Elephas maximus indicus: one gene and its partners. The protein of the gene in region 2 interacts with the protein of the main gene of each other region in a pairwise test. Links are inferred from orthologs where the notes say so. Each region holds a gene or a part of one and is shown on either strand. Other genes may lie near its edges. The genes, in order: dual specificity protein phosphatase 13, CALCOCO1, CWF19L2 and CEP19.

Evidence for each region.
Region 1: the proteins of CALCOCO1 (region 2) and dual specificity protein phosphatase 13 interact in binary tests that used the Homo sapiens proteins (3 or more experiments, as listed by UniProt). The two-hybrid records come from large-scale screens. The link is inferred for Elephas maximus indicus from reciprocal best matches to the Homo sapiens genes CALCOCO1 and DUSP13B.
Region 3: the proteins of CALCOCO1 (region 2) and CWF19L2 interact in binary tests that used the Homo sapiens proteins (3 or more experiments, as listed by UniProt). The two-hybrid records come from large-scale screens. The link is inferred for Elephas maximus indicus from reciprocal best matches to the Homo sapiens genes CALCOCO1 and CWF19L2.
Region 4: the proteins of CALCOCO1 (region 2) and CEP19 interact in binary tests that used the Homo sapiens proteins (3 or more experiments, as listed by UniProt). The two-hybrid records come from large-scale screens. The link is inferred for Elephas maximus indicus from reciprocal best matches to the Homo sapiens genes CALCOCO1 and CEP19.

The regions. Positions count from the first base shown.
Region 1 is NC_064834.1:12,424,424-12,431,790, reverse strand, and holds the start of dual specificity protein phosphatase 13, read right to left. Parts: upstream 3,019-7,367; 5' UTR 2,963-3,018; intron 1,845-2,962; 5' UTR 1,750-1,844; intron 1-1,749. Other genes in the region: dual specificity protein phosphatase 13, read right to left, coding at 6,303-6,502. UniProt on the Homo sapiens protein: Dual specificity phosphatase that dephosphorylates MAPK8/JNK and MAPK14/p38, but not MAPK1/ERK2, in vitro. Exhibits intrinsic phosphatase activity towards both phospho-seryl/threonyl and -tyrosyl residues, with similar specific activities in vitro.
Region 2 is NC_064822.1:109,207,171-109,215,285, forward strand, and holds the start of CALCOCO1 (calcium-binding and coiled-coil domain-containing protein 1), read right to left. Parts: upstream 3,122-8,115; 5' UTR 3,039-3,121; intron 266-3,038; 5' UTR 243-265; coding exon 87-242; intron 1-86. UniProt on the Homo sapiens protein: Functions as a coactivator for aryl hydrocarbon and nuclear receptors (NR). Recruited to promoters through its contact with the N-terminal basic helix-loop-helix-Per-Arnt-Sim (PAS) domain of transcription factors or coactivators, such as NCOA2.
Region 3 is NC_064825.1:12,385,595-12,392,804, reverse strand, and holds the start of CWF19L2 (CWF19-like protein 2), read right to left. Parts: upstream 3,061-7,210; 5' UTR 3,005-3,060; coding exon 2,912-3,004; intron 1-2,911.
Region 4 is NC_064819.1:18,245,272-18,252,402, forward strand, and holds the start of CEP19 (centrosomal protein of 19 kDa), read right to left. Parts: upstream 3,152-7,131; 5' UTR 2,521-3,151; exon of another isoform or gene 1,224-2,520; intron 1-1,223. UniProt on the Homo sapiens protein: Required for ciliation. Recruits the RABL2B GTPase to the ciliary base to initiate ciliation.

The DNA of each region.
Region 1 (7,367 bases), on a different chromosome or scaffold from region 2:
TCTGTTCCTGTAAAGCCTAGGAAACCCTATGTGGCAGTTCTACTCTGTCATGTTGGGTTGCTATGAGTCGGAATCGACTCAGTGGCACACAGCAGAAACAACTTGCCAGGTCCCATCTAGAACCTCACTCCTGGTGCTCACGGTGTACCCCACTTGTCTGCTCTATCCCACTGGGGGCTCAGCCTGCATCGTGGGTGGAGTCGGGCCCAGGTGCCAGCCCAGTGACTCATCCTTGAGGCCCCAGGCACAGCCAGGGAAGGGGAGTTAGTGGCTGCAGTGGGCTTCCGTGGTTTCTGACACCCCCATACCTGGGCTGTGGAGGCCCTTCTTGACAGTTTCTCCCACATTTCCTTGGCAAAAGCTGAGGGTGAAGAACGGGCCCAGCATTCAGCACAGACAGGGCAGGCCAGGCTCTTCTCCCTACTTATCGAGCCCTGGGCTTCTTGCCTCCTTCCCACTTCTCTTCCCATAAGCTGAGCCACTGACTCTGTGGGCAGTGGCTTTCCTGCTTTTGTGTTGCTGCTGTTTACCAGCCCAGATACTTGTTTTCTGTTTTTGTCTGTATCTCTCCTCTCTTTTGCTCTCCCCATTTACCTGTCTCCCACCCCCTCACAGGAAGTTCATGCTCCTCCATGACCCCCCACACCCCCTGCATGCACAGTTGCAGGCCCGGGAGGTCAGCAGACTTGGTGGGATTCTCAGGTCTGTTACTGGTACCTGTGTGGTCTTCTCTGAGCCAGTGAGAAGCCTGTGAGATAATAAATGGAAAGCACCTGCCATAGGGTCTGCCTCTTGGGAGATGCGCAATAAACAGGGCACCTTACTGTTACTGTCATTATTGCCGTTACTGTTATTCCTTCAACCTCATCCATATCCTGGGCAGAGGGTAACTTCCCCAAGGTGCAGTGAGGCTCAGCCTCTTATCTCTTTTTATCCCTTGACATTTCATTCTCTGCCCAGCAATAATTATTATTATACCTACCACCCTGGTGGTGTAGTGGTTAAGAACTAGGCTGCTAACCAAAAGGTTAGCAGTTCAAATCCACCAGGCGCTCCTTGGAAACCATATGGGGCAGCTCTACTCTGTTCTATAGGGTCGCTATGAGTCAGAATCGACTTGACAGCAATGGTTTTTTTGTTTGTTTGTTTGTTTGTTTTACCACTTATTAAGAATGTACTGTGTACCAGACACAGAGCTTGGTGCTTACCTTTTCTCATTAAATCCTCACAGTGCCCTTATGGTATAGGTGATGTTGTTGTTGTTGGGTGCCGTCAAGTCGGTTTTCACTCACCTGTGGGGGTATCATAGTGACCCAATGTGATAGAGTAGAACTGTCCCATAGGGTTTCCTAGGATGTAATCTTTTGGAAACAGATCACCAGTTCTTTCTCCCACAGAACCGCGAGGTGGGTTCAAACTGCCCATCTTTTGATTAGCAGCCATGCACTTAACCATTGCACCACCAGGGCTCCTGTAAATGATATCATCATCCCCATTTTATAGATAAGGAAACTGAGGCTCAGAGAGGTTAAGCAACCTACCCAAGGTCACGTAGTCAAAACACATGGAGGTAGGATTCAAACCCAGGTCTTTCTGACTCTACTATACTTTGTCTCTGCCTTTATCTCTGACCCAGTCGGCCTCCCATTCTTCTCCACTCACACCCTACCCCCGACACAGGCATGAATGTCCTGACCCTCGTTACCCAGCATGCTCGGTGGCCCCCCTGAAATAGAGGCATCCACCCACCTGCAGTGGTATCTGACCCAGGCCGTGGTCTTCTCTGACGGGCAGTTTGTGCTGCTGGTTTCCAGCCGCCTGTCTCTGCACACTTGCTGCTGTTTCTATTTTTTGATTTGAGTTTAATTATAAAGCATGATGTGCTGCTCCCCCTGCTGACCTCCCCCTGCCACTCCCAACTCGCCCACTAGTCCCATGGCATGGTCAGTGCCAAGCCCAGCCAAGCACCTTCCCCTCCAGGCCCTGCGGGGAGTACAGGCAGCATGGCAGGGGTCTGCTGGTGGCATGTGTGCCCGTTTATAGGGAGGCAGGGAGAAGGAAGCACAAATAAACCATTTTGAAAGCTCCTTTGGCCTTTGAGAGTGATGTAGAGCAGCGTCAGAAAGTTAAAGCTGGAGGGGTCTTCCATGCAGGAGGACACTGTGGCCAGACATGGGAAGAGACTAGCCAAATCCCACAGCAAGTTGGTGGCACTGTTAACATGAGAACCCCAGTCCAGGGACCCTTAGATGGGGACTCAGGATTATGGGATTGGCCCAGGCTTAAGAACTAGAAGACTCAGGCTAAGGGAAGCAGCACAGGCAGACAAACAGACAAAGGTTCAAGTGGGGTACAGAGCGGGCCTTTAAACCCTGGGCCCAGCCCCAGCCTGCAATAAGAAGTTGTGTGTCCAGGAACCAGTTGCACCTGCCTCCTTCCCACAAAAGGCAGGATGGGGTATCCCTGGCCCAGGCCTCACTGTCCCTTGAAGCCAGCGAATTGGTCTCTAAAGTCCCTCCCAAGGCTAACTGAGGTCAGTTAGGGACCTTGGATTAGGGCCTATTAAAGCCCTCCGTGACCACCCGGAGACCCTCCTCACACAACCCATACCTTAGCACTTCTCCTCACTTTCAGTCCCAGATAATGGACGCACAAAGAGACACACCCACAACCACACCTATACTGGAGTCTCTGGAGTCTGATCAACTCCAGTGAGCTAGGACCCAGCCCCCACTGGGGTCCATGAGCCCTGGGGAGAGCTGGGGGGAGGCAGCTTGTGGCCAGGGGCTATCATGGACACTTAGAATCCCCTCCGTGTCTCTTCCCCTGCTCTCTAGGGAACCTGGGGTCCCTGGCCACAGAACCTCAGGGTTTGGGGAGTGAACACAGTGGCCAAGAGGGGTGGGGGCAACAGGAAGACAGAGTAGCAGGCTCTAGGGTCGGCTCCACACCAGGCTCTTACCGTCTTCCAGGTATCCACCTGTCCCAGGGGCTCCAGAAGCACCAGCAGGGCCAGAGCCAGGGTGGCAAAGTGGCAGAGCCCCGTGGCAGAGAGTAATGACTGGCTCTGGGGTGCAGATGAGCTTCGTATTGCAAGCAGGTAAACCAAGGAAGGCCCAGGCTGGCTGGGACACATCAGGGTACAGGCAGGAGCCACTTGTGTAAGATCAAGTGGGTGCAGGTGCTGGGGAGCAATGAGGAGGTAGGTTGGGGACCCAGGTTCATGGAAATAGATGACTTTTCCCACAGCACCACCATCTCAGAGTCCCCAGCCCCAGGGGACTGTGCACTGCACAACTCCTAGGGTCTCCAGTCGCATATACCATTCGGTGAATGGCAGCCCCAGGAATTGTGCAATGTTGCAGCCCTGCCCAACAGGCTTCCTTGAAGTCAGGTGCCTCATAGGCAAAGATACTGAGGTCAGATACCAGGGTGTCTAGGGATCCCAGCCTGATGAAGTAGGGTGATTGGGCATGTCCAGAGATCTGTTGCTCTGCCAGGTTCCTGAAACCTGTCTAGAGGAGAGAGAGAAGGCTAGGAACATACCACTCCTGTCCTCCTCTGGACCCAATACCTGCAGAGCTCTCCACAAATGTTTCCCACCCAGCTTAGTCCCAGACCTAATCCCAAACCCAGCTATAACCCATTTTTCTCCCATCACACTCACTGTTAAACTCTAAACGTAGTCCCCACATCCGGCCCTAACCCCCATCCCAAGATGCTCATCCTCAGACAGCATGTGGGAAGGAGTCAATATTGTTAAAGTTCCTCCCCTTTGCTTGGGCTAGTTGTGTGTTCAGAGACAAAAACAGCTCCTATGGAGGGTGTGAGAGGTGGGGACTCTTCCACGGGAGACCCTTGGGGCAAGAAAAGAAGCTCATCCAGCTCCCAGGGGAGCCTAGGCTGGTCCTGGTTTGTCCCATCCAGAGGGGCCCATCCAGTCACCCGTCCCCAGTTGGCAGCCACTCTGAGCCAGTGGGTGGTGCACAGCCAAAGATGGGGTTGAGGACACTGAGGCAAAGATCAGGATGGATGGCAGGAGTTGGAGGTGGGGTGGGGGAAGCAGAGAGCAGTCTGGAGGCTTCACTTCCAGCTGATAGCCCTCAGGTAGGATGTGGCTGTGGGGAAGGCCATGCTGTTGGGGCAGACAAAGACAGACTGAATCCGGGAGAAAGGCGTGCTTTGCAGCTTTCCTCACAAGCCTGGAACACCCCCAGCCACCCCACCCCTAGAAGAGACATCTCTCCCTTCTCCCGAATGTGCTAGAGAAAAACAGAAGGCTGACATAAAAGAAATGGAACCAGCACCTTGGCGACCACTTGTGGGCTGGTAACCTTTCAGTGGAGCTTCCAGACTAAGATAGACTAGAAAGAAAGGCCTGGTGATCTACTTCCAAAAATCAGCCAATGACATCTGAGGTCTTAAACGTTAGCAAGAGGCCGTCTAAGATGCATCAGTTGGTCCCAACCCATCTGGAGCAAAGGAGAATGAAGACCACCAAAGACGCAAGGTACTTATGAGCCCAAGAGACAGAAAGGGCCACATAAACCAGAGACCACATCAGCCTGAGACCAGAAGAACTAGATGGTGCCCAGCTACAACTGATGACTGCCCTGCCAGTGAACACAACAGAGAACCCCTGAGGGGGCAGCAGAGCAGTGGGATGCAGACCCCAAATTCTCATAAAAAGACCAAACTTAATGGTCTGACTGAGACTAGAAGGACTCTGGAGGTCATGGTCCCCAGACCTTCTGTTAGCCCAAGACAGGAACCACTCCCAAAGCCAATTCTTCAGATAGGGATTGGACTGGACTATAGTATAGAAAATGATACTGGTGAGGAGTGAGCTTCTTGGATCAAGTAGACACATGAGACTATGTGGGCAGCTCCTGTCTAGAGGGAAGATGAGATGGCAGAGGGGGTCAGAAGCTGGCCGAATGGACACAAAAATAGAAGGTGGAGAGGAATGTGCCGTCTCATTAGGGGAGAACAACTAGGAGTATGTAGCAAGGTGTATATAAATTTTTGTATGAGAGACTGACTTGATTTGTAAACTTCCACTTAAAGCACAATAAAAATTAAAAAAAAAAAAAACAGCATGATCAGAACACTAAAAAAAAAAAAAACACAGCCAACGAAGACCTATGGATCACAACGGTCTGATCCCATTGTACGTGGGGTCGCCATGAGTTGGGGGCCTACTTGACGGAAACTAGCAACAATCACAAGTCTGAGAAACCCACCATCTTCTACTTAGGACACTGAAGCCCACGGCTGGAGGGGTTGGGTTGGGAAGATGAGGTACTGGTGATCTGCTCCCTTTGTGCAACCTAAAGACCATGGGCTATTTCTCCAGCTGCCCTGAATACAGAACTAGAAAGCAGGGGGTGAATGGAGCAGAAAGGAGTCTGGGTAGGCTTCAGGAAGACCTTTATGTTCTAAAGAGGTGCCCAGAACCAGAGAGGGAGCAAGGGTAGACAGGGTCCTGTGTAGATCTCTGAGATCAGAAGAGTAATTGGGAGATGGGTAGGGTCTGGGTGCTGAAAACATGGTGGAGAACTGGGTGGTGCAAGTGCAGGAGAGATACAGGAGAACTCTGGCATCGAGCAGGGCTTTAGACATCATGGCTGGTGGCAGGAGCACATTCGGGAACCTGTCCTCCTTTCCCGTTGTGGGAATGGTGGAACAGGGCTGGGACGAGAATTCGCTAAGTGTAGAACTATAGCTGCAGCCAAATTTTCTTCCTGAGGCTGTAGCTGGGTCTAGAACTGAGGGGAGGGAGATGCAGAGGTTATAGGCTTGGCAGAGGTGCAGGAAGGTCCAGACAGCCACAGGTGCCAGGTCTGACCATGGCGAGGTTCAGGTGAGCTCCCACAGCCTTTCTGCTGAGGAGGCAGGACAAGCCAGCCTCACAAGCTCTTCCATTTTATACTTTCCACTCCCTTCCTTCTTAGCCTTTCCACTCTTTCTGAGGTCTGAGAACCTGGATAAGCTGCAGGAGAGGAAGGCCTACAGGAGTATTGCCTAAGCCAGGTCCTGGTGAGACCTTGGGTCAACGAGGGGATCCCAGTATCTTGGGGAGTGGGCCTGGTCTCTTTCAGCCTTCATTTCCAGCCACATACATCCCTCCTGCCAACCAACCACTGAACTGGTCCCATCCCATGTCCCCAGCCTTTACTTGACCCCTTACTTCTAACTGTAGCCTTGCCCCCTGCCCAGCCCCTCACCTGACTTCTCACTTTAATGGCACCCAGCCTTGCCCCCTTACCCCCCAACCTCCTGCCCAGCCCTCACCTGGCCCCTCAGTTCCGGCCTGCACCCCACAACTGCTGATCCAGCTGGCACAGCTGGTGGAGGAAGCCTCGGTTGGGGAAGACCCATCGGTGCTGCCGCACAGTGATCACCGCCTGGCGCAAGGACAACTTCTGGCGCAGCATGAGGTAGGCGAGGACCAGCGTGGCAGAGCGGCTCACACCCACCACACAGTGCACCAGGACCTTGGCTGAGGAAGACATCCTAGTGAAAGACCCTTCTCTACCAGGAGACCCTCCCAGGGCCTGGGATGGAGACCCAAGTTCCTTTCCCTTGTCTACCTTGGGCATACTCTGTGACCCTGTGGCCTTATGGGCCTGTTTCCTGATTTGTCAAATGGGTAGACTAACATCTGTTTTGGGATGAGGTCCAACTCACATGACTTACAAGACCCTCTAAGAGCTTCCCCTGCTGAGCCCACCTCTCATCTCAGGTGATCCCACCCTAACTCTCAGCTCTAGGAACACTGGGTAGTTTTCAGTTCCTTGAAGCTGTCATGGTCTCTGCCCTCCAGCTTTGGCACATGCTATTTCAACTACCTGAAAAAGTTTTCCCCTGCTCTTGGTCTGACTAAGTTCAAGTCATTCATCAGGTCTCAAATGAAACAATGTTGCCTCACATGGGCTTCCCTGACCACCTCAGGGTATTGCCTGAATCACAGAACAGCCCATGGCTTTTGCATGTGGTCCAGTGAGTACTGTTGTAGAGAAAGGTCCCCTACCTCTCTGATCCTTGGAGTGAGTTGAGTGCCCCACTCTTCACCTTTGCCTACGGTAGCACTCACGACACTTCACAATTTGGCTGTCTTTCCATCACACAGGTAACAGTTCCATGAGGCAGGGGCCCTACATTGCTTTCTTCTGGGTTCCCAGTATCTAGCTCAGAGCCTGGCACATGGCAGATACCCAGTAAATGGCTGGTGAGTGAACGGATGAATGTTAAACTGTTTGGGATGTTAAAAAGTGCTGTGTCATTCCCATCACATTGGTGAGGAAACTGAAGTCCAGAGAGAGGTGGTAGTTGCCCAGGGTCACGTAGCAAGGGGCACAGCTGTC
Region 2 (8,115 bases):
GGGTGGGAATCCAAGAATTTAGTTATTTTCCTTATTCCAACCAACTCATGGTTGTAAACCTGAGCCAAAAGGGGCTGCAGGGATACCTTGAAGATGCCAATCCAGTCGCTGGCACTGGGCATGGTGCCTGGGGGAAGGGTGTAGTGACATTCCACCTTGGTATTGGGGATATAGGTCCGGGCTACATTCAGAAAGTTGACTCCACCCCGGGATGGTGCCCGGCTTAGTGATGATTCCTCCATATGCCCTCGGGATATCTGCCTTCCTGTGAAGGAAAGGATTAACATCTGTTAGGAATGGAATTGTGTACCCCCCAAAAAAGTTATGCTGAAGTCCTAACCTCTGTACCTGTAAATATGACCTTGCTTGGAAATAGTTTTCTTGTGTTATGTTAATAAGGTCAAACCAAAGTAGGGTGGGTCCTAAACCTAACCACTTCTGAACAGTGTCTTATAAGAACAGCAAAATAAACACAGAGATACACACACACAGGGGCAAGACGGATGCCATGTGATGATCCTCTACAAGCAAAGGAACACCAAGGATTGTCAGCAGTCACCATAAACTAGGAGAGGCTGTAGAAGGCATGGACATAGCTGAGACTCTGATTTGGGCTTTTAGCCTCTAGAACTAGAGAAAATTAATTTCTGTTCTTTTTAAAGCCTCCTACTTATGGTATGTTTTGTTATGGTAGCATTAGGTAACTAAGACAATTCCAAAGTCTTTCTATTCTGTTTCCCTCCACATCCCTATCACCCACACATACACCAGCCCCTGCCACTATACCTGGAGATGAAGGCATATCTGGTTTCTAGCCCCTTAGGGTTACTCTTAGTCCTAGGACATAAGTCTGGACTTCCAAGTCACTCCCAACCCTGTCTCACACTGTACCCTCTCTGGTTCACAGACCTGTCCCAGAATTCAGATCCTTCCAATTTCTGCTCCCTTTTCACTGCCCAACTGACCATGTCTCATTATCCCAGGCTCTATCCTCCTCAGTCTCTCCTTTTCTCCCTCTTACCCTCCTTGAGCCTTCTGGATTCTTCAGCCTCCATCTCCCCATCCATCCCCCACATCTTTTAGCTCTTGAATTCAAAACTCAACTGAGATGTAGGGCCCCCTCATTCTGAGCAGGTCTCTTGAGGTTGTTGATTCAGCTATACATGGGAATGAGTCATGACATCTGAAAACACTAACATCTGAAAGGAATGATTGAGTCTTCAGAGCTGAAATATGGCCTGAGGGGACCAACATCCCAACTTCAGGCTCCTGAGCTCTCAGTCCTCTCCCCCAATCTGAGCTGTCCACCCCCAGAAATTTTAGGGAAGTAAAGCCCTGCTTTCACCCAAGAGTCAAAGGGACTCAGTGGATATAAGGAAAGACAGGTTCTATCACTCAACTTCATCATTACAGGAAGTCAGAATTCTGGAGGCGGCTGCTTCAAGGGTGGAGTGAAACACTTGGCAGGAACTTGGTGGTGTGGGGGAGATGGAATGTGGGGGCTGGGAGACAGGAAAGTCCCACCCACTGGGTAGCAGACAGATTGGAAGGTGGGAAGCAAGGGGCCCTGGGAAGCAAGGGGCCCTGGGAAGCAAGGTGGGAAGCAAGGGGGTAATATATATTTAATGTTGAGGGAAGGGAGAGAGAGTTCAAAAAGGACCTAACATTCTTCTCTCCAGATCTTGCAGGGCAAGAAACCTACTGGTTTGACTTGCTGTTAGCTCTAGTATTTTCCTCCAGTTCCCCTTGGTATCAATTTTAAGTGCCTGAATTCTTCCATCTGCTTGCATTGGTAGTTGCAGATATGCTATAGGATGAGACTGGGAGGAAGGGGTGTTCCAAGTAAGCTGGGAAGAATTAATTGGAAAATTTGGGGGTGGGGTGAGGACAGATAACAATAATAACAATCAAGAGAACTCCTCAGCCCAGGGCAGTGAGACGGCCCTCTTCCTTGTCCCTCCCCTCTGGCTCCCGAAGCTGCATCCTCGGCCAGCCTCGGCTGACAGTATCCAATCAGCCATCGCCACTAGTCATGTGCACACCTCCAAACATCACAAACCCACACCAAGCCGAAGACAGGGACTTTAAAAGAAAACTGAAACTCAGAAAACAGGTGGGCCAGCTCTACAAAAAGGAGTGATGTCTCTCTCCAAATTAGAGATAGAAGTAACAAGGGGTTCCTTTGGATTTACATATCTGAAAAATCCCTAATGAAAACTAGTCCATGTTTTCCTCAGATACAATTCTTCTGGCTTTCTAAGGAGTAAATAAGTTGTCCTCAAAGATCTAAGCCTGAGAAGCTGGTGAAATGGACACGAAAAGAGAGAGTGGAGGGAGGAAGCAGTCTGTCTCATTAGGGGGAGAGCAATTGGGAGTATGTAGCAAGGTGTATATGGGTTTTTGTGTGAGAGACTGACTTGATTTGTAAACTTCCACTTAAAGCACAAAAAAAAAAAAAAAAGATCTAAGCCTGGGTAACCCCTAATACTCCCCACAAACAAAATCTGTAACAGCTGGAAACACTCCCAAGGCCTGAAAAAAAGCTTGGACACCCAAGGTGCATGTGTGCAGCCAGGTTTAAATGTTCATATGGGGGTTCCTTTCTCCCACTGTCTAGGGCTCTAGAGTTCCTTGACATTCTACAGCTTGGAAGGTCCTCCCCACCCAAGGATTCAGCGTAGTGAAGGCCTTTGGATTTGGGGAGGGGGAGGGGAACACGTGTAAAGGGAGGTTTGTGGGGATCAAGTGTTGCCTGGGAGACAATAAGCAAAGGTTCTAGCCCCTCAACTCTCCTAGGCGTATCAAGCTTTATGGAAAAGGGCTGACAAGAAGGTGAGGACAGCGAGAGGACACCCACCTTGCTCAGGGCTCCCCTGAAACCAAGAACTCCCAAAACAGTGGGGGTGGCCTTTCCAGTGGGGAAAGTGTTAAAATCCAAACGTACCCGAATCCTTCTTCTACAGTTCCCTACCCTCTCACAGATTGGAAAGTGGGGTGACCCCCCCCGGACCGCCCCTAAATTAGGCCAAGTTTCTTACCCTACAGACGGATCAGCTGTTCCCGTCACCCTTCACCAACAACAAAAACAGCACTCCGACTCCGTCAGGGGAGGGAGAAGAATGGGCCCGAGGACTTCTGGGTTTTGTGGTTCTTCTGCGCCCTTATGCGGCAGAGCAGGTTTGGATCTAGGACTACACTACCCAAAAGGCGGCGAGAAAGGGGGGCGGAGAAGAGGGCAGCCGTGGCTGCGGCCTCACCACAGCTTCCTGGGAGGCGTAGTTCTCACTTCCATGACTGTAAACGGGGGTGTGGCTATCGGAGGACTTCACATCCCATGATTCCTCAGGAGGGGGGCAGGCTGCGTTAGTGGTAGTTGTTTGCAACGTGCATTTTTGGGGGTGGGGAGGATTTACGGCTCTAACGCCTTCCGAATAACGCTTCACAGTTTTCAGAACGCTACGGATACGCTCTCTTATTTTTCACAACAACCCTGTGAGATAGGTATTATTGTTATCCATACATTACAGATTAGGAAACTAAAGCTCAGAACGGTTAAGCTATGAAATGGCAGAACTCCACCAGGATTGCCTGACTCCAAGTTCAGTGCTCTTGCCACTACCCCAGAATGACCCCCCATTTAGGAGATGGAAAGCTAATAGCTGTGACCTTGTAAAAACTATGTGTTCCACACCGCTGACCATTGTTTTCCAGTTGAAGAATGTTAGTGCCAGGGGCCTGTCAATACTGACGGACCTGAACTGAGTTGCCCTAGAGTGGCCTCTGGGATGCATTGCCTGAGGTGGTGGTGGGGAGGGCAGTGGGGTGAGGGAATGAAGTTGAAGAGGGAGCCTGGCATAATGGAGGACTTGTCATAGCTCACAAACAAGCCACTTACGGGGGCCCGCTTGCCCAGGCTTTTTAACTGGCTTTAATTAATTAGGCTAACAATACATGTTGTTGCTCCAGTATTATTTAGCAGAGGTGAAAAAGATTCACACTCTTCCCAACCCCCAAGCCAGGATTTGGGCATCCTTCCCTGCCCCTCTAGATAGTCTGAGGCATTCAAAATTAATCCCTCTCGCTGTCCTTGTATTAAGGGATGACAGTCTAAGGATTTATTTGCTCTTCCTAGGTGCCTGCCTTTAATTTTCTGCTGCACTAAGTTATGGAGACTTCTGCCTTTCCCAAGTTTTTTGGGTGGTATTTTGCTTTTATGACTGTGAATGGGGTGTCTGGTGCCTGCCCTTGGGTACGTTTTGTCTGAAGATTTCCAAGCACTTAATAAGTCACTGGGCTGCACAAACATTAAGGTGACCTGTCTGTGTCATTAGTCAGGATTTATGAGTTAGGGAACAAGCTACTGGATGAGGAGGCAGCTCAAGGTCCTGGAGTGGGTTAAGAGCAGTCCCACCCAAGTCTCAGGTGTTTTTGATTTTTTACTTCTATGCAGAATAAAGGCACGTAAGAAAACTTAGTTTCATCTGGAGCTAAAAATAATCATTTTCTTACATTGAGTGCTTCAAATGTGTTAAACCACGCTAAAAGCTTTTTATATTTAATACAACAGCCGTATTATTACAACAGCTGCTAACCAGAAGGTCAGTGGTTCAAACCCACCAGCTGCTCCAGGGGGAAAGATGTGGTATTCTGCTTCTGTAAAGATTATAGCCTTGGAAACCCTCTGTCCTAGAGGGTCACTGTGAATTGGAATTGACTCGATAGCAATGGATTTGGTTTGATTTTTGTTGTTGTTGTTATTATCGCCATTTTACATATGATGAAATTGAGGCACAGACAATTAAGTGACTTGCATATGGCCATCCAACTAGTAAGGATTCAAACACAAGTAGCCAGTACATCATACTCCCACCCCAGCAACTCCTGGCATGTGATACTAACTTCCATTGCTCTAAGGAAGAGTGTTGTTAATCAGGCTATAAATGTTCACTGAGCATTTGTGAGCAAGGCATAAGACGATCTGAGATTCAGTCAATAAATATGTATTAGGTAATGTATTAGATACTACGCTCAAAACCAAAAAACCCAGTGCCATCACGTCGATTCTGACTCATAGTGACCCTATAGGACAGAGTAGAACTGCCCCATAGAGTTTCCAAGGAGCACCTGGCAGATTCGAACTGCTGACCCTTTGGTTAGCAGCCGTAGCACTTAACCACTACGCCACCGGGGTTTCCGGTACTATGCTAGGTATTCAATAAATTTTGTTGAAAGAATGAATATAAAATATGGATATTTGAAGGATGGATTATATTTGGACGATTTGGCAGGTCAGGGACTGGGAAGGATAAACTTATTCCAGGGTGAAGCAAAGATTAAAAGGTGTAAATGTGTAATTGATGCTGGGAGTCACATAAGAACAGCAAATCAAATTCAACTTTTTTTTTTTTTTGCAAACTCAGATTGAGTTGTATCTCCCCCCAGTTATGTGTATGAATTTGGCTAGGCCACGATTCCCAGTATTGAGTGATTGTCCACCATTTTGCCATCTCTATGATTTTTTTTTTTTATGATGTTAAGTCTGGGTTATGATGTTAATGAGGTGGGATTAGTGGCAGTTATGTTAATGAGGCAGGAGTCGATCTACCGGATTAGATTGTGTCTTAAACCAATCTCTTTTGTGATATAAAAGAAAGAAGTGAGCAGAGAGATTTGGGGACCTCATACCACCAACAAAGCAGCGCCGGGAGCAGAGCATGTCCTTTAGTCCCAGGGTTCCTGCGCAGAGAAGCTCCTAGACCAAGGCGAGATTGATGACCAGGACCTTCCTCCAGAGCCTACAGAAGAGAGAAAGCCTTCCTCTGGAGCTGATAGCCTGAATTCAGACTTCTAGCCTACTAGACTGTGAGAGAATAAATTTCTGTTTGTTAAAGCTATCCACTTATAGTATTTCTGTTATAACAGCACTAGGTAACTAAGATCCAGTAGACTAATTTATTGTTTGAAATTATTTACTCTCTCCTTCCCTGCCCATTTTCATGTGACTTGCAGTATCTTCTATAGAAGGAGTAAACCAAAACCAGACCTGTCACCATCAAGTCAATTCCTTTAGGACAAAGTAGAATTGCCCCATAGGGTTTCCAAGGAGCTGCTGGTAGATTCGAACTGCCGACCTTTTGGTTAGCAGCCAAGCTCTTAAGCCACTACGCCACCATGGCTCTGTAGAAGGAGTACATGTCCCATTTCATTGACTTTGGGCTTGGTCATATTTCATGTTTTAGCCAACGGAATGTGAGTAGATGTGACTCATGCCATGTTTGAGCTTGTGAGTTTCCCCTTTCTTATTCATCCTCTCTGCCACTAGAATGGGCATGTTTCACACGGGGCTTGCTCCTTCTTCTTGGAATGAGAAGATTCATGGAACAGAGCTGCAACCTACCCACAGCCTACATATACAGAAACCTTTGTTGTTGTAAACCACGGAGATTTTGGGGTTGGTTGCTACTGCAGCAAAGCTGATTAATATACCATGGATGAGTCATACCTGGATAATGGAAGACAAAAGTTTGAAACATAAGCTTATAACCAAGGGTGGAGAATCTCGAATGCCAGATGAGGTAGAGCCTGCTATGTCTTTATCAGAACCTGTTTCCTTCTTTTTCATGGACACACAGCTGGACCATGCTTTTCAGTTTCTCTTCAAGTGATGTGGTACAACTTCCAGGCCTTGCCCATGAAATCTCCCTTATGTTCTTTCCTTTCTGGCCTAATGCAGATAACCTTGAAAGCCACATGCTAAAGGTAATGGAGCCAAAAGATGGAAGGAACCTGGTTCCATGAATCACCTATTGGCAGAGAGCTACCTGCTCATCAGGAACGTGCGTTTTGGACTCCACTTGACCAATAAATACGTTTCTATTTTGTCATGCCACTAAAAACATAATTGGGTAGAAGGGTGGTTTATCTTTTACAGTAGCTAGTGCTTTCCTGGTGGCAGTGGTTAAGCACTTGGCTGCTAATTGAAGGATCAGCAGTTTGAACCTACCAGCCACTCTGTGGGTGAAAGATGTAGCAGTCTGCTTCATAAAGCTATAGCCTAGGAAACCCTATGGGGCAGTTCTACTCTGTCCTGTAGGGTTGCTATGAGTCAGAATTGACTCGATGGCAATGGGAATGGGTAGTGCTTTCCTAACCAATATTGTCAGGTGCTGTCGAGTCGCTTCCCGACTCTTAGTGACACAAAGTACAACAGAACAAAAAACACTGTCCAGTCCTGTGCCATCCTCTCAATCATTGCTATGCTTGAACCCATCGTTGCAGCCACTGTGTCAGCCCATCTCGTAGAGGGTCTTCCTCTTTTTCTCTGACCCTCTACTTCACCAAGCATGATGTCCTTCCCCAGGGACTGGTCCCTCCTGATAACATGTCCAAAATACACGAGATGAAGTCTTTCCACTCTTGCTTCTAAAGAGCATTCTTGGGTTCTGAAGAATCCAAGACAAATTTGTATGTTCTTCTGGCAGTCCACAGTATATTCAGTATTCTTTGCCAACATCTTAATTCAAAGGAATCAATTCTTCTTCAGTCTTCATAATTAATTGTCCAGTTTTTGCATGCATATGAGGCAATTGAAAATACCACGGCTTCGGTCAGGTGCACTTTAGTCCTCAAAGTGACACATTCGCTTCTTAACACTTTAAAGAAGTCTTTTGCATCAGGTTTGCCCAATGTAGTACGTTGTTTGATTTCTTGACTGCTGCTTTCATGGGTGTTGATTGTGGATCCAAGTAAAATGAAATCTTTGACAGCTTCAGCATCTTCTGTGTTTATCATGATTTTGCTTGTTGGTCCAGTTATGAGGATTTTTGTTTTCCTTATATTGAGGTGCAATCCATAATGGAGGCTGTAGTCTTTTATCTTCATCGGTAAGTGCTTCAATCCCCTTTCTTTTTAGCAAGCAAGGTTGTATCATCTGCATATCACAGGTTGTTAATGAATCTTCCTGCAGTCCTGATGCTGTGTTCTTCTTCATATAGTCCAGCTTCTCGATTATTTGCTCAGCGTAGAGATTGAATAAGTATGGTGAAAGGATACACACGCCTTTCCTGATTTTATACCACGCAGTATCCCCTTGTTCTGTTCAAACAACTGCCTCTT
Region 3 (7,210 bases), on a different chromosome or scaffold from region 2:
ATCAAAGTCATGTTTCTCTAGTCAGATGACCATGAGGCAGGTTGCTTAGACAACTCTCTACTACAATATTTTTTTTAATAATTTTTATTGTGCTTTAAGTGAAAGTTTACAAATCAAGTCAGTCTCTCACACAAAAACCCATATACACCTTGCTACACACTCCCAATTACTCTCTCCCTCCACACTCTCTTTTCGTGTCCATTTCATCACCTTCTAACCCCCTCCACCCTCTCATCTCCCCTCCAGGCAGGAGATGCCAACATAGTCTCAAGTGTCCACCTGATCCAAGAAGCTCACTCCTCACCAGCATCCCTCTCCAACCCATTGTCCAGTCCAATCCATGTCTGAAGAGCTGGCTTCGGGAATGGCTCCTGTCCTGGGCCAATAGAAGATCTGGGTGCCATGATCACCCGGGTCCTTCTAGTCTCAGTCTTTTTATGAGAATTTGGGGTCTGCATCCCACTGCTCTTCTGCTCCCTCAGAGGTTCTCTGTTGTGTTCCCTGTCAGGGCAGTCATTGGATGTAGCCAGGCACCATCTAGTTCTTCAGGTCTCAGGATGATGTAGTCTATGGTTCATGTGGCCCCTTCTGTCTCTTAGGCTCGTAATCGCCTTGTGTCCTTGGTGTTCTTCATTCTCCTTTGATCCAGGTGGGTTGAGACCAATGAATGCATCTTAGATGGCTGCTTGCCAGCATTTAAGACTCCAGACACCACTCTTCAAAGTGGGATGCAGAATGTTTTCTTAATAGATTTTATTATGCCAATTGACTTAGATGTCCCCTGAAACCATGGTCCCCAGACCCCTGCCCCTGCTTCGCTGGCCTTCGAAGCATTCAGTTTACTCAGGAAACTTCTTTGCTTTTGGTTTAGTCCCATTGTGCTGACCTCCCCTGTATTGTGTGCTGTCTCTCCCTTCACCTGAAGTAGTTCTCATCTACTATCTAGTGAATGCCCCTCTCCCACCCTCCTCCCTCCCTCCCCCCTCTCGTAACTTTTTACAAAAGAACGTTTTCTTCTCAGTTTAAACTATTTCTCAAGTTCTTATAATAGTGGTTTTCTACAATATTTGTCCTTTTGCAACTGACTAATTTCACTCAGCATAATGCCTTCCAGGTTCCTCCATGTTGTATGTCTCACAGATTCCTCACTGTTCTTTACCGATGCGTAGTATTCCATTGCGTGAACATACCATAATTGATTTATCCATTCATGTGTTGATGGGCACCTTGGTTGCTTCCATGTTTTTGCTATTGTAAACAGTGCTGCAATAAACATGGGTGTACATATATCTGTTCGCGTAAAGGCTCTTATTTCTCTAGGACATAGTCCAAGGAGTGGGATTGCTGGATCGTATAGCAGTTCTATTTCTAGCTTTATAAGGAAGCGCCAAATCGATTTCCAAATCAACTACAATATTAAGGGAAGCATAGTCATGTTTTGCCTTATTTCCAAGTTTTGGATATTTTTTTCTTCAAATATCAAAGAGTAAACTGGAAGTTTTCTTCCAGCATTTGGGAGTGAGGATCATTTTATTCCTCACAGCAAAAGTAAGAAAACTCAAATAAAAATGAAAATGAATTACAATAAAAATTTTTAAAACCACTTAAGGAACTAATATGAATGGTAATGTTGCAAACAAATATCAGTTCTCAAGGTAATTCTAGTCTGTATGCAAATAAATGAGTAAATAATATTCATAGCTCCTGTTCAACAATGTAATCTTTTACTAATAGTCTTTTATCTTTTCCTAATAGTCATATCAGAACTATGTTACCACTTATTTTTCCACAAATAAATCTTTCTCCCTTACCCCACGATAATATTGAACAAGCTTCAGCAAATTACAGAAAACACTTACATTTGAATAGCATTAAGTAAACTCTTTCACAAGAATAAATAAGAGCAAATAAGGCTGAGTTTGCAGATAAGGGTTACAGAAACAATGAGGATTTAAAAGCATGCTTACAAACCCTACTTCCCTCGAAAAACTGCTTGAAAATACCAGAATCAAGGTTGAAGAATACTTACTATACATACATAATACTTATACTAAAGTCAGGGAGCAATACAGACCTTGCGCTTGTCTAAGACTAACTGCCTACTCTCCCACTTTAAGATCTGGCTGTAGTCATTATACCCTCTCATTCCTGCATCCTCTACCTTTCCTTCTGTACTGGATCCTTTCATTTGCATTTAAACTCGTTTAAAATTCTCCCATCATAAAACAAACAAAACCGTGTACTTTCACTTGTACCCTACCTTGCTCTCCAGCTATTAACTTTTCCCATTTGTTACCAAACATCTTGAATAGCTTGTTAGACAATTTAATAGAGTTTACTTGCTCCATTCTTTGTATCTTACCTCTATGCATCTCAGTCTAAATGAGGAATACAAAGTTTCTCAATCTTTTTCCAGGGACTAAATTTTCTGGGTCTCCACTGTCAACCCTTGTTTGGATCAGTAAAGGCTTGCAATGAGCCTGAAACTGATACCAAAAGGAAGACACGAGAATAAAATGGTCAAACACATTCTTTACAACTGTTCTTCAAAATGAAAATTTTAGTTTCAGATACAACATGAGCAAGGACTAAGGCTGTAAGGCACTACGGCAGAGTCCCTACAAGTGCGCAGTCCAGGAGACAGAAAAGACGGGATGATTTAAAAGGCAAGGAAACTCAGAGGAAAAGGAACAACGCTCCCTGAATACAGGGAAAGAACAAAGGAGCCAGCCAGAGCGTTTGGAAGGCGGGGAACAGCCAAGAGCTTGGGGGTATCCTCAAAAGAGACCCCACCCAGAAAAGGTAAGGTACTTAAGTGTGTGCCGGGATGAGGGAAGCTGGAGTGCCTAGCTGTCGGGAACCCTCCACTCCCACAACTTAAAGGGTTTCAAAAGCTCCAAAATAGACGTACCTGGCGCAACACTTCGGCCCTAGCAATCCGGGTCTGTTCTTTACGCTCTTCGATACTCTTCGCACTTTCAAATCTACCACTAGCAGCCGCCATAGTTGTTGCCGTCGTAAAGTTAGGAAGCCATCACGAAATCCTAATTTACGACTGTCGTAAATTAATAGACAAACCAGAATCTCCAACGAGGGGAAGGAGAGGCGCTGTTTCACCTACGGAGCATGCGCTGCTGTGAGGTGCGTAAACGTCAGAATTACAAGTTCCACGTTTTAGAGACGTGAAGACTAAGTGAAGTGTTACCCTCTGTTCGTGTACTGGATTCGCCCTGAGCAGGTTTAGTGTCAATATACGTTTGTTACGCTCTGTGCACTATACTGACGGCTTTCTCGTGTTTCCTCGAAAATCACCACTAAGTCAGAAGTTCATAGAGGTTAAATTAAAAAAAAAAAAAAAAAGTTGCTGTCCAGTCGATTCCAAATAATACCGACCCTACAGGATAGAGTAGAACCGTCCCATAGGGTTTCCAGGGAGCACCTAATAGATTCGAACTGCAGACCATCTTACGTTAGCAGCCGTAGCTCTTAACCACTAGCCACCAGGGTCTCCAATTAAGTACCCTTCTCGCGATAGGAGATTTCGGGTGCTGGGGGGAATGAGAAGAAAGAAGGCTGGCGGGGAAAGCAGAAGCAGGCAGGAAGGGCGAAATTGGTTTGATTCGGTATTTTGCTTTGGTTAATTTTTTTTTTTTTTAATATATGAAATAGTGATGTGATTTTGCATTGTACTTCACCCGTGCTTACTTTAATTTTTAGAAGTTTTTCATATTGGTCCCATCTTAATTGTTCATCTCATCCATCCAGGCTTTTTTCATTGCAACGTGCCGTTACCTGTGCGTGTGTTTTGTTGTTTTATGTTTGTCTCTCCCAAACATAAAAAATTTAAGTTCCATTTTGAAATAAAATCAAGTGCTTTGACAATACAAAGCACTGAGCTTACATTTTAATCATATACAAAGAAATCTGTAAAATATAAGCTAAATATCTTAAAGACACAAAATAATTAACATAAGTGGGGTTGAGGTAAATATTCTTTCTTTTCAGGTTTCATAAAATTGCATTTGTTTGCAAGAAGCTTTCCCCAGAGTTTGTTTTACCATTTAGTGAAAATCTTAACCTTGAGCATGTGGTTTACTTGTTTGATATACAAAATAAAATTTACTCATTGTATTTTTGCTACAGAAGATTGAATTTTAATTTACTAATTGACCTTGTAATATTTAACCCACTGACCGTGACATACTAATGTTGTCATAATTCTTTCAACCAGCATTGAAGTCTTTTCAGATTTTCCTGGGATTAAGAAAAACATTCCTCTCTCCCCTGCATCAGTTATGGAGCAACTAAAAATAAATGGTGGTTATTGCAGAAACACGTGCAAAATTACATGAAGAAAACTTTATAGTCCTATTTATGCCACAAAAGAAGACTCGAACAAATGGAGAGGTATATTATGTGATTGATGAAAGAGACTATAAATATGATAAATCCTCCATAAATTAATTTGTAAACATAATGCAGTGCCAATAAAATTACCAACAAAAATTTTGGAGTTGGGGTAGGAAGCGACAAGATGATACAGGGGGTAGGGGGGCAGAAAGCAAGTTGTTTTGATTATGTTTGCATTTGGCCACACCTACTAGAAATCTAATCTTGTGATTTAATCAAATAAGGGGTAATGTAATAAGGAACCTAAAGGTGGTTGGTGAAGTTTTTATTCATATATGAAAGCATTTTTAAAATGGAAATCGAGAAATAAAGTTACTATACCAATGGGAATCCCTTTTTTAAATTCCAATACATTCTGCTCAGTTTTTTTCCTAAGTGACTACCAATTTATCATGAGCAGTATATGACAGAAGCTATTTCCTCAGCTCTCTGCTGATATTGTGTATTATCTCTAAGTTTTTGCCAAATGTATGTATCAAATTAAGATGCTATATTACCGTTATTTCACTTTGTATTTTCCTGATTACTTTTGAGGTTAAGAACCTTTCCGTATGCTTATTTCTCTACATATTTATTAATTGCCTCTTAGAGCTTATTTTAATAATCAGTTCTTTCATGAACGGGAAGTTTTTTTAATATATAAACTATGTGAAAAAGTGTCCTATATTTGTTAGGTTAGACTAGGCTGTCTTCAACCAGTACTCACCATGATAGGTATTCCTAGTAGTTGGTAATTCCTGCTGCATGAGGTGATTCAAGAGCCCAGGCTTCTTTCATCTGTGTCTCAGATATAACTTAGGGAATCTTTTTTGGCACTCAGACAATAGAAAGAGAAAAACCATTGGAGAGGCACACTCAACTTAAAACCCTTGAACCAGAAATGGAACACAGCTTTGTTTGTACAGCATTGCCAAGAATTAGTCACATGGCCACAACTAGATGCACAGGGCATAAGAAAAGATGTCCCTGGTTTTGCAGTCACTTCTCCATTAAAAATCTATACCATGGAAGGGGAGAAAAGATTTTTGTAGACAGCTAGTCATATCTGCACAAGATATGATTTTTTTACATATAAATATCCAAAAGCCCTAATATCATTTATTGATTTATTTCATTATTTCCACACTGATTATAAATGGTGCTTTAAAATCATACACTATATTCTCATGTATAACCAAACTCATTGCTGTCAAGTTGATTCTGACTCAGGGTTACCACGTGTGTTACAGAGTAGAATCGTAGTCATAGGGTTTTCTTGGCTGTAATCTTCACAGAAGCAGATTTTCAGGTCTTTCTTTTGTGGCACTGCTGTGTGGGTTCAGATCGCCAACCTTTAGGTTAGGAGTCAAGCACAAACCATTTGTGCCAGAGATCTACCTATTCCCATGTATCTATGGGACTGTTTCTAAAGTCTGTCCAGTTGATCACTATTCCTGCAGCCATTGCATCCTGTTTTAATTACTATAGTTTTTATAGTGTGTTTCTGATATCTGGTAGAATTATTCCATCATCATTCTTTATCGGGGTATTCTTGGCTGTTCTTGAACATTTACTCTCCCCTATGAACTTTAAAATCAGATTATCAAGATCACAAAAAAATCATTTAGATATTTTAATTGGTTTTATCTGTTGGGATTCTTTGGTTGTATGCAAGCAATTTGAATGGCATTTGACAAATTTAAGGAAATAGGGGAATTCACTAGAAGGATATATGCAAAACAAGTACCAGGACTGTAAATACTCAATAATCAGACAGCTGTCACTGAAATCACAGGCCACAGCAGCCACTCTGTACCAAAGACCAGTTAGGATCCACAAAAAAAAAAAAAAAAAAAAACCCCACTGCCGTTGAGTCAATTCCAGAGGGGACTAAAAGATCCTAGAACCCCACACAGCCAGGAGAAACCGTCAGCCACGCACTCTGCTGTGTCACCTTGGAATGGAACAGAATGAGAGACTGTACTTTCATCACAATAATCAACTTTTTTTAAATACCCACCTGAATATAATACTGACGTCTGTTGTGTGGTATAGGAATCGCAGTATAAATTGCACCACACTTTCACATTCATTTTATGTGCCATGTTAATTTTAGATATCATTCTGAAATGCTCTCAACTTTACCTTTTCTATTGCCCTGCTGGAAAAAAGCAGTCACACATTTGTTTAATAAGCTATTTATTTTACAACAGTTTTAGATTTACAGAATAATGGCAAAGATATTACAAGGAATTACCATATACCCTCACCCAGTTTCCCCTATTACTAACATCTTATGTTACCTATTGCCGTTGAGTAGATTCTGACTTACAGGGGCCCTATAGGACAGAGTAGAACTGCCCCATAGAATTTCCAAGGAGCACCTGGTAGATTCAAACTGCCGACCTTTACATCTTACATTAGAATGGTACATTTGGTACAATCAGTGAACTAACGTTGATATACTATTGTCTTAGTTATCTAGTGCTGCTATAACAAACACCACAAGTGGATGGTTTTAACAAAGAGAAATTTATTCTCTCACAGTTTAGGAGGCTAGAAGTCCAAATTCAGGGTGCCAGCTCCAGGGGAAGACTTTCTCTCTCTTTGAGCTCTGGGGGATGGTCCTTGTCATCAATCTTCCCCTGGTCTAGGAGCTTCTCCATGGAGCAGCCTTAGGTCCAAAGGACACACTCCGCTCCCAGCGCTGCTTTCTTGGTGATATGAGGTCCCCCCGTCTTTCTGCTCACTTCTCTCTTTTATATCTCAAAAGAGATTGGCTTAAACTGTAGATTGATTTTGTAGATTGAGTTTACATCAC
Region 4 (7,131 bases), on a different chromosome or scaffold from region 2:
TGAGACCTCGTACCTGTACACCCTCTAAATGTTTACAGTCAATAAGCCTGATCAAAAAAGCAGACCTGGTTCGGAACTGGCCTCTACATATATGAGACAATAACGTTCACACAGCTTTTCTTTCAGCTGACTTGCCTCACTATAGGTTACTTTTTCGGTTCCCAGAAGCAGCACAGCTTTTACAGGTTAATACTTTCAATTCCCTCTTTCCTTCCCCACCTTCAACACCAAAATACACTTCATTACTGGGACTGCTTTTGATGCAACTCTGATATTCCCAGGAAGATCTGTAAATGTCAAGAAACTTTAAGGTGAAGTGGCATAGGGTGTTTATATCTTAATTAACTCAGTTCTGTTAGAGAATCACTATAGTAACTTGATTAAAAAAAATACTTAAATAACATGCGCCTAATTCACCTAAGTCCATTGTAGAAAGCTGGGGGGGAGGGGAAGAGGAGACATAAAATAATCAGCCGTAATTCCTTCTAGGCTTTTATTTAGACATACAATTTTATTTTTCTAAACTATGATATTTAAAAAATATATATATACTATCTCCTGCCTTTTAAATTTAACAGTCTGTGATTATTTTCTTGTCGTTGAATATTTTACTAAAACGCAATTTTTTATATGACTGTGTAATATTTTATCCAAGGAGTCCTGCTGGTGCAATGCTTAAGTGCTCGACTGCTAACTGAAAAGTCAGCCGTTTGAACCCACCAGCAGTTCCACGGGAGAAAAGACCTGGAGATCTGCTCCCAGAACCTAGGAAGCCCTACGAGGCAGTTCCTATTCTGTCCTACAGGGTTCCTGTGAGTTGTAATCAACTTGATGCAATAAAAGCAAGTGTTTCATGATGTTAGGTGCCAGTGAGTCAGTCCCGACTCATAGTGACCCCACAGGACAGAGCTGAACTGCTCCACAGGGTTTCCAAGGAGCAGCTGGTGGATTCAAACTGCCAATCTTTTGGTTAGCAGCTGTAGCTCTTAACCGCAGTAAGACCAGGGCTCCCTGTGTCTTATACATTAAAAAAACAGTACCAGTTGCCACGGAGTCAGTTCCAACTCATGGTGATCCCACGTATGTCAGAATAGAACCATGCTGCACAGGGTTTTCAACGGCTGATTTTTCAGAAGTAGATGGCCACTGGGTGGGCTCGAACCTCCAACCTTTCAGTTAACACCTCTGAACCACATGAACTACAATCGACACATTATACGTACACGTTGTTGTTCTCAGCTGCCATCAGGTTGATTCAGACTCACAGTGACACCAAGTGTGAAGAGAACAACTGTGCTCCTCCATAGGGTTTTCAAGGCTGCGATCTTTTGGAAGCAGATTGCCAGGCCCGTCTTCCAAGAAGCCTCTGGGTGGGCTCGAACCTCTAACCTTTTGGCTAGCAGCAGAGTGCATTAAGTATTTGCACCACCCAGGGAATCCATAAATTTACCATAAACCTGACCTGTTGCCCCCAAATGGATTTTGACTCATAGCGACCCTCCAGGACAGACTGGAACTGCCTTACAGGATTTCCAAGGCTGTAAATCTTTATGGAAGCAGACTGCCACATCTTTCTCCAGCAGAGGGCTGGTGGGTTCAAACCACTGAGTTTTCGGTTAGCAGCCAAGCACTTAACCACTGAACCACCAACCAAAAAAAAAAAAAAAACCACTATGCCACCAGGGTTTCCACCACACCACCAGGGCTCCTCAAATGTACCACAGGACGTGGGAATTTTCACTTAGTAAATTTGCTTTTTCAAAATACTGGGCTCTCTTTCAGAAACGCTGGTGGCATAGTGGTTAACTGCTATGGCTGCTAACCAAAGGGTCGGCAGTTCGAATCCACCAGGCACTCCTTGGAAAGTCTATGGGGCAGCTCTACTCTGTCCTATAGGGTCACTGTGACTTGGAATCGACTCAACGGCACTCGGTTTGGTTTTTTGGTTTGGGCTCTGATCTAATGCAATGATTCCACCTACCTCTATGCCCTCCCCCCCCTTTTTTTTTTAAAAACAAATACTACTCCCAGTTCCCCTCACTAAGATTTGGTTTGTTAATGAACTTTCTAGCAGAAACAATATAAACTCTAGACACTTAAGCAAATGGCTGTACTCACAAATGGTATATACAATAGATACTCAATAATGCAGGGTTTTTTTTGTTTTGCTACAGACTCTTTAATTTTTATTCTTACGGAAGTAATACTTATAGTTTGTCTAAAACGTGAAATAATTCTGAGGCTTATAACAAAAAACTACTCTCCTTGCCCTTCGTCTCCCCATAGTAAGCCAGTTTCAATTCTTTTAGGTGTTTCTCCCAAAATTTATCACCATATTTCTTCATAATATGCCTATTCTGGTATTTTCCAATCTGGACTGGATTCTTTTTATTGGATGCTTTCTAGGCCTGCTTACAGATTCAATTCAAGAAGAAAGACAACATATTTACTCTTCCTAACATATTTTTCTCCGCAAAGACCAATGACTACCGTAATCCTGCGAAGCATCCCCCACAGCACCTGGAAGTGTAAGGATTCCGCCAATGGAGACCCTCTGTGGGTGCACGGTCCTTTAACCATTCTGGGACGTTCTTCCTCCATGGGCCCCACTAGCACAAGGTTGACTTCCTTACCCCGAGAGAGGTACACAAAGTGCATCTCCTGCAGGCCAGCGTCTAAAACCACGAGGGGCTTCCTGCCCCCCAGACTGCAGCGCACCGAGGAGCCCCTGCTTAACCCGGCACTGAGGCCGGGCGGGGCTTGGCGGTGCAGGAAGAGGCGAAGGCCACGGCCCCGCCGACGTGACTGTGGGGTGAACTCCGCGGCAGGAGGCCCGACAGCGCAAATCCCTGGAAGCGGAGGTGCAGGGCGTGAGCACCTCGAGGGGGCTTCCAGACTGCCCGCCCGGGGGCGGGCTCAGTGGTTTCCACAGCAACAGCCGGGCCTACGTCACTGCGCTTGCGCCGCTCGTCGCCCCGCCCCGCCTCGGACGGCGAAGGGCGGGGCGACGAGGGGAGCAAATGAGGGGGTCGGACCTGCCGCCTCACGCGGCGCCGGAACTTCTGGGGTTCGGGGTTGCAGCCTGGTGCGACCCCTGAGGCCTCCGTCCCGGCCAGTACCTCCGTGGCATCGCGCGCCTGCAGGGGCGTGAAACGCGTGCTTCCGCCGTCCGCATTTCGTCCCTGCGCGCCCCTCTCGGCGCCCGCCCTCGGGCATCCTGGCGGCAGGTGCCGTGGCTGTCCGGGCGGTGGCCTGGCTGCACCTCTGGGCGGCGACCGGGTTGGCGTGCACGCCCGCCTCGGTCTCCGACGCCGGTAAGGGGAGGGCGGGGCCTGCAGCCGTGTGGGCGGGGTTTGAGGGCGGAGCGATGGGGCGCAGACCGGGAGGAGCCCTCTCCGCCCCTCGGTTTGCGAAGGTGCTTCCCTGCTCTCGGCCTGGAAGCCCGCAACTGTAGGGTGGGCTGGAGGAGGTAAAAAGAAAAAAGGTCACGTGCCTTGCTGTGCCCGTACTCGTTGCTCTGTCGGCCGGCAGCTGGGTCTTCGGAGAACCGGGCCTTGTTCCGGGGCGGGACTGGCGGGGACTGTCATACAGAAGCACGGCCGTGAATGAAGCATTTTGGGGTCCTCTTGCAATGCGTGCAACCCCGACCACCAAAATCAGTAAGGCCTCAGCGCGCTGCACAGCGCGAGACTCCCAACCCAGAACATAGAGATTCTGAGGAACCGGCTAGTTTTGTATTTCAGGCATCTTTAATGGTAGACTGGCTTGGGCGAGGCTTTCTTTATGACTCTGGGCTGGGCGAGGGAGTTGATCACTGCTTTGGGCCCGAGTCCCTGGCCTGGAGTGTTGGGCTAAGTGCTGTGGATCCAGTCTTGAGCTAGATCTACATGGCCCCAACCCTGGTGCATCGGCAATGTCCTGGGGGAGACGGACACAATGAAGTGATAACGTTTGACGCAGCCCATTGCTGTCAGTGGATTCCGACGCCTAGCAGCCCTATAGAACAGAGTAGAACTGCCCTTACGGAAGCAGACTGCCACATCTTTCTCCCACATAGCGGCTGGTGGATTGGAACCGCTGACTTTTCGGTTAGCACAGGGCTTCTCGGCGTTTGACACGGGAAGGAAAGTCAGCACAGACTAGCATCTGCCCATCAGCGCAGCTCTGATTTTGTGTACTTTACATATTGTTGTTCACTGCCAGTTGGGTAATTCCCACTCATGGTGACCCCATGTGCTGAGAAGACAACTACTCCTTAAGGTTTTCCAGGGTGTGACCTTTCGGAAGCAGAAGGCCAACCAAGCCTTACCTCTGAGGCCCTTCTGGGTGAGTTTGAACTGTTGACCTTTTGGTTAGTAGTCCAACCCTTAACCACTTGGGCCACCCAGGGCCTCCTGTTTTACATATTAGGTTTCCAAATTTATTTGAGAAGAGGATTTAAGAAGCCAAAAAAAAACAAAAAAAAATTTAACACAATTGGACTTGGTGATCTCTAAAGACTCGTCCAGCACTGGCATCTTATGACTAAAAAAGGTACAATTTTTAGAGCCACTTCAGGCCACCACAACCAAATAAAGTAATACTTAATAGGAAAAACCTTGAAGATGAATTCAGGTGCAAGTTTATTTTGAAAATGGAACTTTCGCCTTAAAAATGACAAATAGTACTAATGGACCACAGCTACCACAGCCTCCATCAGACTGAGTCCAGTACAACTAGATGTTGCCCAGCTACCACACTGACTGCTCTGACAGGGATCACAATAGAGGGTCCTGGACAGAACTGGAAAAAAACAGAGAACAAAATTCTAACTCAAAAAAAGGTCAGACTTACTGGCCTGACAGAGACTGGAAAAACTGAAAGTGTGGACCCCAGACACCCTTTTAGCTCACTAATAAAGTCACTCCTGAGATTCACCTTTCAGCCAAAGATTAGACAGGCCCATAAAACTAAAGATTAAAGGGGCACACCAGCCCAGGGGCAAGGACTGGAAGGCAGGAGGGGACAGGAAAGCTGGTAATAGGGAACCCAAGGTTGAGAAGGGAGAGTGTTGACATGTTGTGGGGTTGTTAACCCATGTCATAAAACAAGATGTGTACTCATTGTTTAATGAGCAAACTAGCTCTGTAAACCTTCACCTAAAGTGTAATAATAATAATCATAATGACAAACAGTATTTGCTATAAAAACCCGTTGCCATCGAGTTGATTCTGACTCATTATGACCCTATAGGACAGAGTAGAACTGCCCTGTAGAGTTCCCAAGGAGCGCCTGGTAAATATGAACTGCTGACCTTTTGGTTAGCAGCTGTAGCTCTTAACCAGTATGCCACCAGGGTTTCCAGTATTTGCTATACTGTTTGTAAATTAGTCTTCCCACCATCTCATGGTTATGTGATTTACTACTGTGGTATACATGCCAATAGAATCTAAGCCTATCAATCTGACTTGGTTTTTCTAATTTAATTTATAAGTAGATATAAGCCCTTGCTCCCTAAGTCATCTTTGTTAAACTTAAACATGATGAAGAAAAGTCTGGTTTTGTACAAGAGATAGATAAGTTGTTTATTTAGGTAAAGATTATATGCTTCTCAAAAGCAAATAGGAAAACCGGTGACGTAGCGCTTAAGAGCTATGGCTACTAACTAAAAGGTCAGCAGTTTGAATCTACCAGGTGCTCCTTGGAAACCCTACGGGGCAGATCTACTCTGTCCTACAGGGTTGCTATGAGTTGGAATCAACTTGGCGGCAATGTTTTTTTTTTTTCTTTTTTGTTAAAAGCAAATAAGGACTCCTTTAAATAAGTAGGTAGAGTGGAGAGAGGCTTTAAAAGTCAGTCAAATCTTGCTTCCAGTCAATCACTTAGTGACCCAGAGCCAGTTTCTAACCCAGAGTCAGCATTTCTCCTGTGTACAAATGGCAGTCATTTTGCTTGCCTATTTTTTTATTTTGCTAGATTTTTTGTAAAATGCAGAAGAAAACGCATATGAAAACCTCAAGTACAGGATCTGATATATAGATATTATCGGATAAATGTTAGTTTTGCATTTGTTTTTCCTTCCTTCCCTTGTGTTTTTCAAATGTTTTCATCTCTACATCATTTTTTTCCCATGCACTGGAATACATCTAATGGACTCAGCAGCACACGATAATAGTATATAGTTTTCTGTGTGTTTGTTTCAATGTGTTTCCCACACACACCCAGCTTTTGAAAATGGGATTCAGTTCCATAGCAAGGTGCCTGGCAGAGTTGGTGGTCAACAGTAACTGAATTTTTAGTTTTATGATGCTGACATGGAGTAATAGTTTTAATGTCTGATTTCTGGTTATTCTGGGTTTACGTAGGAACCATTTGAAGCTTTGTGTGCCTCCAGATTTTTTTCCTTTTTAAACTCTCCTAACATTCCCCCCTGCAAAAAACCTGACTCATGGTGACCCTACGGGATGGAGTAAAACTGCCCCATAGGGTACCAAGGAGTGCCCGTTGGATTCGAACTGCCGACCTTTTGGTTAACAGCCATAGCCCTTAACCACTATACCACCAGGGTTTCCCAACATCCCCACAAGGCGTGAATATACTGTCTTCCCAGTTTTATAGCTGTGGGTGGCAGAATACAGAAGTTGCCAGTATGTATCTGATACACTGTCAGTGTGAGCTAGGATTAAAACAGATTTCCTGGCTCTTTTGTCATTCTATTTGTTCCAGTGTCTCGTGGTCACCTGAGTATAGTAATATTAAGAGCAAACACTATACAGAGCACTTACTATTTCGTAGGCCCTGTTCTGAGTGCTTCTACATGTATTAATCCTGATGATATTTAAAAGAGAGAGAAAATATCCTGCGCGAAGTCACGCAGCTATTAAGTGACAAGCTGGGATTTGAACCAGGCAGTCTAACTTGAGTCAATATTCTTACTCTACAGGAAGCAGATTTATGTGTAGTGTAAATTACTTAAGTTTTAAAAATTTTGTTTGTTTTGTTTTTAGGCTGGTTAGGTTTTCCAGGGTGATAAAGCTTATTAATGATGTAGCTATTTAAAGCTTTTCTAAAAATTGCTTTTGGTTCTCTTAGGCATAAGAACCACTTGTTCTGAAATTATTTTGAGGCACGAAGTTTTGAAAGATGGTTTCC